Kluyveromyces lactis: one gene and its partner. The main gene of each other region encodes a partner of the protein of the gene in region 2 in a complex. Links are inferred from orthologs where the notes say so. Each region holds a gene or a part of one and is shown on either strand. Other genes may lie near its edges. The genes, in order: DHH1 and PAT1.

Region 1 (3,583 bases), on a different chromosome or scaffold from region 2:
CGTCTGGAATGAAGTGTCTCTGCTAATTGGACTTATTTCCTCACGGACCGGAAGCTTCTCCAACATCAAACTGAGTGTTGGACCATTTCCATTACTAAAACCTTTCGGTATTTCGTCAGGAGAGGAAGATGATGATGAACATGATGATTCTAGAGTCAAATGCTTCAAATTCTTCCGTTTCAAAGTCTTCGGTTTGAACAAACTATTGCACGATCCCTCTGCACTATCATTCGACGGTTCATGGTTTATTCGATTCAATAACATCGAGCCGTTTTGGGTACGTGTAATCATATGCTTTTAAGTCAATCTGACCTCAATGTTCACCACTTTCTGCGCCTCTTCTCTTTGGAGATATTAAAGTTTTACGATCAATAATAGATATTAATACCAAAGCCAAACTTACAGGCTCAGATGATTGTAAAATGAGACAAAAATTAAAATGCAACTAGAAACCCTAATAGAAAGACCCCACCAGGTTCCAAAAAACAACACACGTTGGCTCTTTGCAACACTCCTTGCTGCCTCAGTAATCGTCTCTTTCTTCTTCTGAGTTACTGCTTAGCCTTGTATAGGCTTTCTTTATCATTACTTAATTATTACGCTACTTTTTATTTATACGGTGCATGATAAATTAGTGTGGTCCTCAACGGAACCACGAATAGAACAAGAAAATGAAAGGAAGTCACTTCTGCTATTGAACGTAATGGGAATGCCTAGTTGCCTCGAGCATTCTCATTTCAACGTACGCTCATATGCGCTGATACATCTATATATATTTTTGTCTAGGCATTCCCATTATTCGCACTGCATCGTACCTTATCGCTACAAGTGATAGAGAAGCCTCACGGTGCTGAGCTTAGCCCTTGGCATATTTGTTACCCGGACATGTCTTCACTTTTCTTATCACGTGACAATTCGGATTTTGTGAAAAGGGTGATATCCGTTACCCGCACTTGTAATTGCTTCAGTAGGGTAACATTGCTCTTCCCTCCACTCTGGAAAGAAGAAAAAATTATGAAGTTTAGAATTAATTTGAACAATTATTACAGAGGCACAAGAGGAAATAAAAGTATAACATGTGTATTATGGTCATAGGTATAGTATTTATACATTCTACTCTGTGATATTAGCAACAGCATAGTTTCCGGATATACACTAATTGACTAATTTTATTAATTGACTAATTCATTGAAGCTTTATTTAAGAAGGTTTAACTTTATCTGCAAAGAATATTAAAGATAATTGATAATATGGGCAGCGATACAAGCGAAAGTAATAACGACTGGAAGACCCAGTTGAATATTCCTAAAAAGGATACGAGGCCTCAGACTGATGATGTGTTGAACACGAAGGGTCGTTCGTTTGAAGATTTCTATTTGAAAAGAGAACTTTTGATGGGTATATTTGAAGCAGGGTTTGAGAAGCCTTCCCCAATCCAAGAAGAAGCTATTCCCGTTGCCATTGCCGGGAAGGATATATTAGCGCGTGCCAAGAACGGTACTGGTAAGACGGCAGCGTTCGTTATACCAACTTTGGAAAAAGTGAAGCCCAAGTTGAACAAAATTCAAGCATTGATTATGGTTCCTACAAGAGAGTTGGCTTTGCAAACATCACAAGTGGTGCGCACGCTAGGGAAACACTGTGGTATCTCTTGTATGGTTACCACTGGTGGTACGAATTTGAGAGATGACATCATGAGATTAAATGAACCTGTACACATTTTGGTGGGTACGCCCGGTAGAGTGCTAGATTTGGCATCAAGAAGAGTGACAGATTTGAGCGAATGTCATTTGTTCATTATGGATGAAGCGGATAAGATGTTAAGTCGTGACTTTAAAGTGTTGGCGGAACAAATACTTGGGTTCTTACCAGAACGTCGTCAACTGCTTTTGTTCAGTGCGACTTTCCCAGTCACCGTGAAAGAGTTCATGGTGAAGCATTTGAAAAACCCTCATGAGATTAATTTGATGGATGAATTGACACTAAAGGGTATATCACAATTTTATGCATTCGTGGAAGAAAAACAAAAACTTCATTGCTTGAACACTTTGTTCAGTAAATTGCAAATCAACCAAGCAATTATCTTTTGTAATTCTACTAACCGTGTCGAACTTTTGGCTAAAAAAATTACTGAATTAGGATTTTCTTGTTACTACTCACATGCTAGAATGAAACAATCCGAAAGAAACAAAGTCTTCCATGAATTCCGCCAAGGTAAAGTTCGTACGTTGGTTTGTTCCGATTTGTTAACTCGTGGTATCGATATTCAAGCCGTTAATGTGGTCATTAACTTCGATTTCCCAAAGACTGCCGAAACTTATTTGCATCGTATTGGTAGATCTGGTAGGTTCGGTCACTTGGGTTTGGCTATCAACTTGATTAACTGGAACGATAGATTCAACTTGTACAAGATCGAGCAAGAATTAAACACCGAAATTGCTCCTATCCCATCTCAAATTGATAAATCCTTGTACGTTGCGGAAGATAGTTCCGCAGTCCCAATCCCATTCCCTTTGGAATCCCTGCCAATCACTGCAAATGCTCCCCAACAACCTGCAAATGCTGAACCGTTGCCTCCTCAACAAACTCAAGTGCAATTCCATGCTCCTCCTCAGCAGCAACAGCAACAACAACAGCAACAACAACAACAACAATATCAACAATTCCCAAACCAACAACAACAGCAATATGGTCAGCCTCTAATGCCGCAAAACTACCAACAACAGGCTTATCCACCTCAACCTTTCCCATCAAAAGGCTTCCCACAACAACAATACACTCAAGCTCCTCAATAATGAATTAAGCATTGTTTTAATGCTTGCTTCTAACGGAGCAGTTTTTTTTTTTATCTTAATTTCCCACTTTTACTACTCAAAACCCAAGTCGATCCTATGAGTTGAAATTCAGGTCCAATTTCAGTTCTTGTCATTATTTTGTATTTGTTAAAAAATTAGGCTTTGTCCACATACCACGCATATTGTACCTCTAGACGCTATTGAATATTTTCAAATACTCGACAATCCTTGCGCGTTTCAAAAATCTCACTAATGTTGATTGTACATTAACCAAAATTGACTATAACTAAATGTATCATAATCAATGCACTTTTTCAGCACACTTTATTTGGTTGCTCTATAGGGTCTTATTCTTTTTGCCCTGAATTAATATGAATCGTGGGTTTCAATACTAACCATCTCTACGAATTCCACTAAAGGTTCCTGGACTTTGTTCCCCACCTTTGCTTGTATGCCCAGGTTTGGAATACGAATGCCTTCATTTTTTCTTTTTCAGGCGCTATCGCCTGTAAATTTAATCAATCAGCTTCTTCCTCCATTCATTCCAATCGCCTGTCCTACTACGATAATTTCAAAAGAATCAGTATTACTAAACTGGCCGGTCTTAACCGTGATGGCTCAATCATACAATATAGCCAATCAATCTACTCAATCTACTTATCCTCTCTTTTTTTTTTCTCCGTCTTATATTACTATATCGACCAGCACAACTTATTATGCTAGTATATGGTTGCCTGTTGAATCACTTAAGCTATGTCCCTGGATAGTACGGCTGTCAATACCATGGG
Region 2 (4,347 bases):
TCTCTACTCTTTTCTTATCCTCTTCGTTTGTCTCATCTCATCTTCATTTTTATATCTGAACCCTTTAGAATTGCATTTTCCAATTAATTAATTGTTTACGTTAGCAAAATACAAAAATTAAACATTCCAACTTAACAGAAACACAGGGTGAGGAACAGGAACCGAATCATTTGGCTTTACGGTACATATTGCACTTTCGGCGTTCATAAGGATTGAAGTGTTCTAGTAGATGGAAATATGATACATTTGTAATAGTAAATAGAAGAATTACTTAGATACTATAAAGCTGACTTTTTTTTGCAATTTTTTTCCTTGAGATTTGATTTCGAATTTGTAGCACACAGTTAACAGTGGCAATCGAGATAGGGGCTGATCAGAGGAGGCGCACGATATCGATCACTTCAGTTCAGTGATTTCACCATCACGAGCAACAAGACCCATGACATTCAAGAACAAGTTCAAATCCTGATAGAACTTGTTTCTTTGATAAGCCAGTTTAGGGTCTTGTTGAGAAGGGGCATTTAGTTCTTCAGCCTTTGAAATGACTTCGAAAATTTCGTCTCTCACTTCATCAATCAATATACGTTGATGGTTCAATTTTCCGCTCAAAGCAAGCGATGCAAGGAACTGCCAGATGTAAGATTGATCATACTGAGTAGAATCCTGTTCATAAACTGAAATGGCGTGTTGCATATATTCAGGTGTTGGGAAAATTGCAGTCAATTTTGTTTCTAAAGAAGTAAATAGCCTATCATAGACTTCACTCCAAGTGGATACTTCCACAGAAGACAACAGTTTGCCCCTGCTAACATCTTGTTTCATCAAAGCAGCACGTGAAATGAGCACGGTAATCAAATTCAAACCGATACGCGATGTGGTGATGAAAGAAACGTTATTATTCTGAATGACATTTATTAGTAGACTCATTACCTCCAAAAACTCTGCTGAACTGGATAAGAACGAAACAATGATCTTCAAAAACACAGATTGGAACAATTCCATCTTCTTCAGTTGATCTTTAGTAGGAAGTGGAGTAGTCTTGTACGATGATATGACAATGACATTCAAATGAGAAAGTTCCTTGAAGAAGCAGTTGAAAAGCTTAATCTTCTCTTCTCTTGACAAGAAATTCATAATACGTGGCATAATCTTGATACCTTTGTCGAAAGATAAGATGGAAATGAAGGGAGAAACGTCAAAACCGTGGTCCTCAACGTGTAGCGCCTCCCATAATTTTGAACTGTCCGGCTGTTGACCGGATCTCAATTGAGCTTCTAGTTCAAGCACTTCTTCGTAAACAGTTTCAATCAATGATAAAATGAACTTACGGCCACCAGAACGGGATAAAACTGTACGATGGTCCACTGAAGAACTCAAAGCATAAGATGATCTTCTTCTTTTGGCATTGATATCCACGCCTTGCAAAGATTCAGACACCTCATCTAGGGCTGAGCTTGATTGAGAAGACAACGCTGGAGAATCCTCTTTGTGAGTTGGGATTTGTAATTGCTTTCTTGGAGCTTTTGAGTTCCTAGTAGCTGAGATTTTACCCAAGACACCCTCTTTGGCATTATCCAACCCACCCTTACTTTTCTGTGGTCTTTCTTTCGCAACGGTAACAGCCTTCTCGACCTGAGATTGCATTCTCTGTAACGCGACGTCAGTTCTCTTGTAACGACCTCCTAATCTGTGACCCGAGTGCTCTAAATATGCTTTAGCAATAGAATCCTTATTAGATTCAGATGGAGTGACACCCCTTTGAATGATTTTATAAACTTGGAAGTAGAAATCCTCATTGTAGGGATCATCAGTGACAATTTGAGATAACTGATACCTGGTGATAAAATCCTTGTCTCTTGGAGTCATTACACCAGAGTGTCTGAGAATTTTGTCAACCTTCGATTGTCTGATTTGAAGACGTCTCAATTCTTCATCAGTCAAAGGATCTTGGGTGCCAAACCTCCTTGGACCACGGCGATACTCTCTAGGTGTATGAGGTGGAGTTGGCACCTGCTCTGATTCTGTTGGCACAGGTGTTGGAGAGTTAGAATGCTCATAATCTTGAGTAGAACGGACAGCTTGGGTTCTAGCAGCAGTGTCAACGGAGTGAGGCTGTTGGAACACTTGTTGCTGTTGGTGTTGTTGTTGGTGCTGCTGATCTTGTTGGTGTTGTTGAGGCAAGTATTGGGGAGGTAACTGCTGTTGGTGGGGCTGCTGGGGCTGAACAGGAGGTTGATTTTGCATTGGTGGCATAGCCATCTGCGGATGTTGCATATGATGTGCAATGTTTCCTTGTGTTTGATTGTACATTATCGGTGGTACTTGTTGGAATTGTTCCTGAGGGTTAACAGGTTGATTAGGAAATCCGGCATTACCGAATTGATTAGGGATAACAGGGGGAATATTTTGCCCAGGGAATTGCTGGTATTGACCTTGAGGGAACCCTTGTGGAATAAAGCCGTAGCCAGGGTTCTGCGGAGGTTGCATACCATAGAATCCAGGTTGAGGCGGCATAGCCATCTGTTGTTGTCTGTCTAAAGATTGAATGGCCAATCCTTCCACATTAGGTGCACCTTGCTGTTGAACCTGTGGTGGGGCTTGGAATTGTGTAGGGGCTTGAGGTTGCACCTGTTGTTGCTGATTACCGGAGCTGTTACCCCATAAAGATTCCATAGGTTGCATGTCCAGCGATTGTTCGAAACCAGGTTTACAGTCTGCTTGTCTGTTCATTTTGGCATTTGCAATAGATGCATAAGAAACAGGAGCTGGTGCTGGTGCCCTACCAGAACCTGAACCAGCGCCAAGCTCCCCTTTACCGTAACCAAAATCAAAATCTGTACCCAGATCCGCTCCAGTACCAAAAGTTTCATCATTGAGCAAATCATCTTCCTCTGGCTCATAATCACCCAAGCCTTGATACGTTTCTTCGAAATCTAAAGAATCCTCCTCGCCTTGCTGTTTCCTCTCACGAGGTTTTCGGCCCGTGGCGTCAAAACCGAAGAATGACATCGTTCAGTGATTCAGGAATATAAGGACTCCTATACTAATTGGGCAAAAATCGATTTCTAGATCAGAATTGTCGACAAATCCTATTATATTCTCTTAAAAACACAAGTAATGTGATTTAAGTCGCTACCTGCCTGCGTTTCGTTCAAGCAATCTTCCAACAAACGGTCTCTGAATATCTCTGATCACTTATTTTTGAGCATAGAAACTACTTTGCTTGTTAAGTGAATTACATTTTTGGGTTGTTGTTTGATGAAAAATTTCACCGTGCAAGATGATATACATATTAAGGATTTCTAGTTCAAAATTTGAAATTCAGGTCATGTGATTTCAAATATTTGACATTTTTCAACATGGTAGTTTAGAAAGTTCCAATACAAACTCGTACGTAGTCTTTCTTTCCTTCATTAGCAGCATATATAAAGTGATTGCGAATAGACAAAGATGACATATACTACTAACATCCTAGGTACAGCTATCTGGAAAATATATCAGCTTAGCAGTTTAGTCTTAAACCTAAGTAATAAAAGATATCTGATCTAATAGCAGTGACCAAGTTCTAATAATTTTAATCTGATTAGCAGTGAAAATACTGATTTGTATGAAGATCTGAATCAAGTATAGTGCTCGAAAAGAATCAACTCAGACTGGTAAAGTGGACTTAACTGCAACTTGGAGAGTACGAAATATCTAAACTATAATCTTGGATTTGATACTAGAAAATGAAACAGAGATTGAGTTCGTTAGATTTGCAACTGATATCCAAAGAGTTGGAGAATCAAATTGTAGGATTTCGCTTAAGAAATATCTATAACATTGCTGACTCAAACAGGCAATTCTTATTAAAGTTTGGAAAACCCGATTCCAAGTTAAACGTTGTCATTGATTGCGGATTGCGAGTTCATACTACTGACTTTACCAGGCCGATTCCCCCGACTCCTTCGTGGTTTGTTTCCAAATTGAGATCGTATTTGAAAGAAAAACGATTGACGGCAGTTAAGCAGATCCCAAATGACAGAATAATTGTGTTTACTTTTGCTGATGGTAAGTACTACCTTGTTTTAGAATTTTTCAGTGCCGGAAATGTGCTTTTATTGGATGCTGACCAAAAAATTCTTTTACTACAGAGAGTTGTCGATGATTATTCGATGAAAGTTGGTGAATTTTATGACATGGCCAACTTTGCAGAAATTAACCAAACTTCAACTACGGTTCCTGATCCTAAGGAATATTTCGAAAATGAAATAGCAGATTGGTTGAAAGAAGCCGACGTTAAAGCCAAAAGCACAATTGTGCCCGGAGAGGCTAAAAAAGGTAAACTCAAGGGAAAAGCATCTGTTC

The links.
Region 1: the proteins of PAT1 (region 2) and DHH1 are in contact, whole or in part, in a crystal structure (PDB 4BRW), measured with the Saccharomyces cerevisiae proteins. The link is inferred for Kluyveromyces lactis from reciprocal best matches to the Saccharomyces cerevisiae genes PAT1 and DHH1. Residues at the interface, in NP_010002.3 of Saccharomyces cerevisiae: Gly25, Tyr26, Gly27, Glu28, His29, Glu30, Leu31, Glu32, Asn34, Asp35, Leu37, Asn38, Glu40, Thr41, Phe42, Val46, Gln47, Val48, Gly49, Thr50, Asp51, Phe52, Phe54; in NP_010121.1 of Saccharomyces cerevisiae: Val265, Glu267, Arg268, Gln269, Lys270, Leu271, His272, Cys273, Asn275, Thr276, Leu277, Ser279, Lys280, Asn291, Ser292, Thr293, Asn294, Arg295, Glu297, Leu298, Leu299, Lys301, Lys302, Leu306, Tyr312, Phe358, Asp359, Ile409, Pro410.

What each region holds. Positions count from the first base shown.
Region 1 is NC_006039.1:1,452,405-1,455,987, forward strand, and holds DHH1 (DExD/H-box ATP-dependent RNA helicase DHH1), read left to right. Parts: upstream 1-1,250; coding exon 1,251-2,795; downstream 2,796-3,583. Other genes in the region: mitogen-activated protein kinase kinase STE7, read right to left, coding at 1-291. UniProt on the Saccharomyces cerevisiae protein: ATP-dependent RNA helicase involved in mRNA turnover, and more specifically in mRNA decapping by activating the decapping enzyme DCP1.
Region 2 is NC_006042.1:2,529,610-2,533,956, reverse strand, and holds PAT1 (deadenylation-dependent mRNA-decapping factor PAT1), read right to left. Parts: upstream 3,010-4,347; coding exon 397-3,009; downstream 1-396. Other genes in the region: RQC2 (Rqc2p), read left to right, coding at 3,729-4,347. UniProt on the Saccharomyces cerevisiae protein: Activator of decapping that functions as a general and active mechanism of translational repression and required for P-body formation. First decay factor recruited to mRNA, at a time when the mRNA is still associated with translation factors.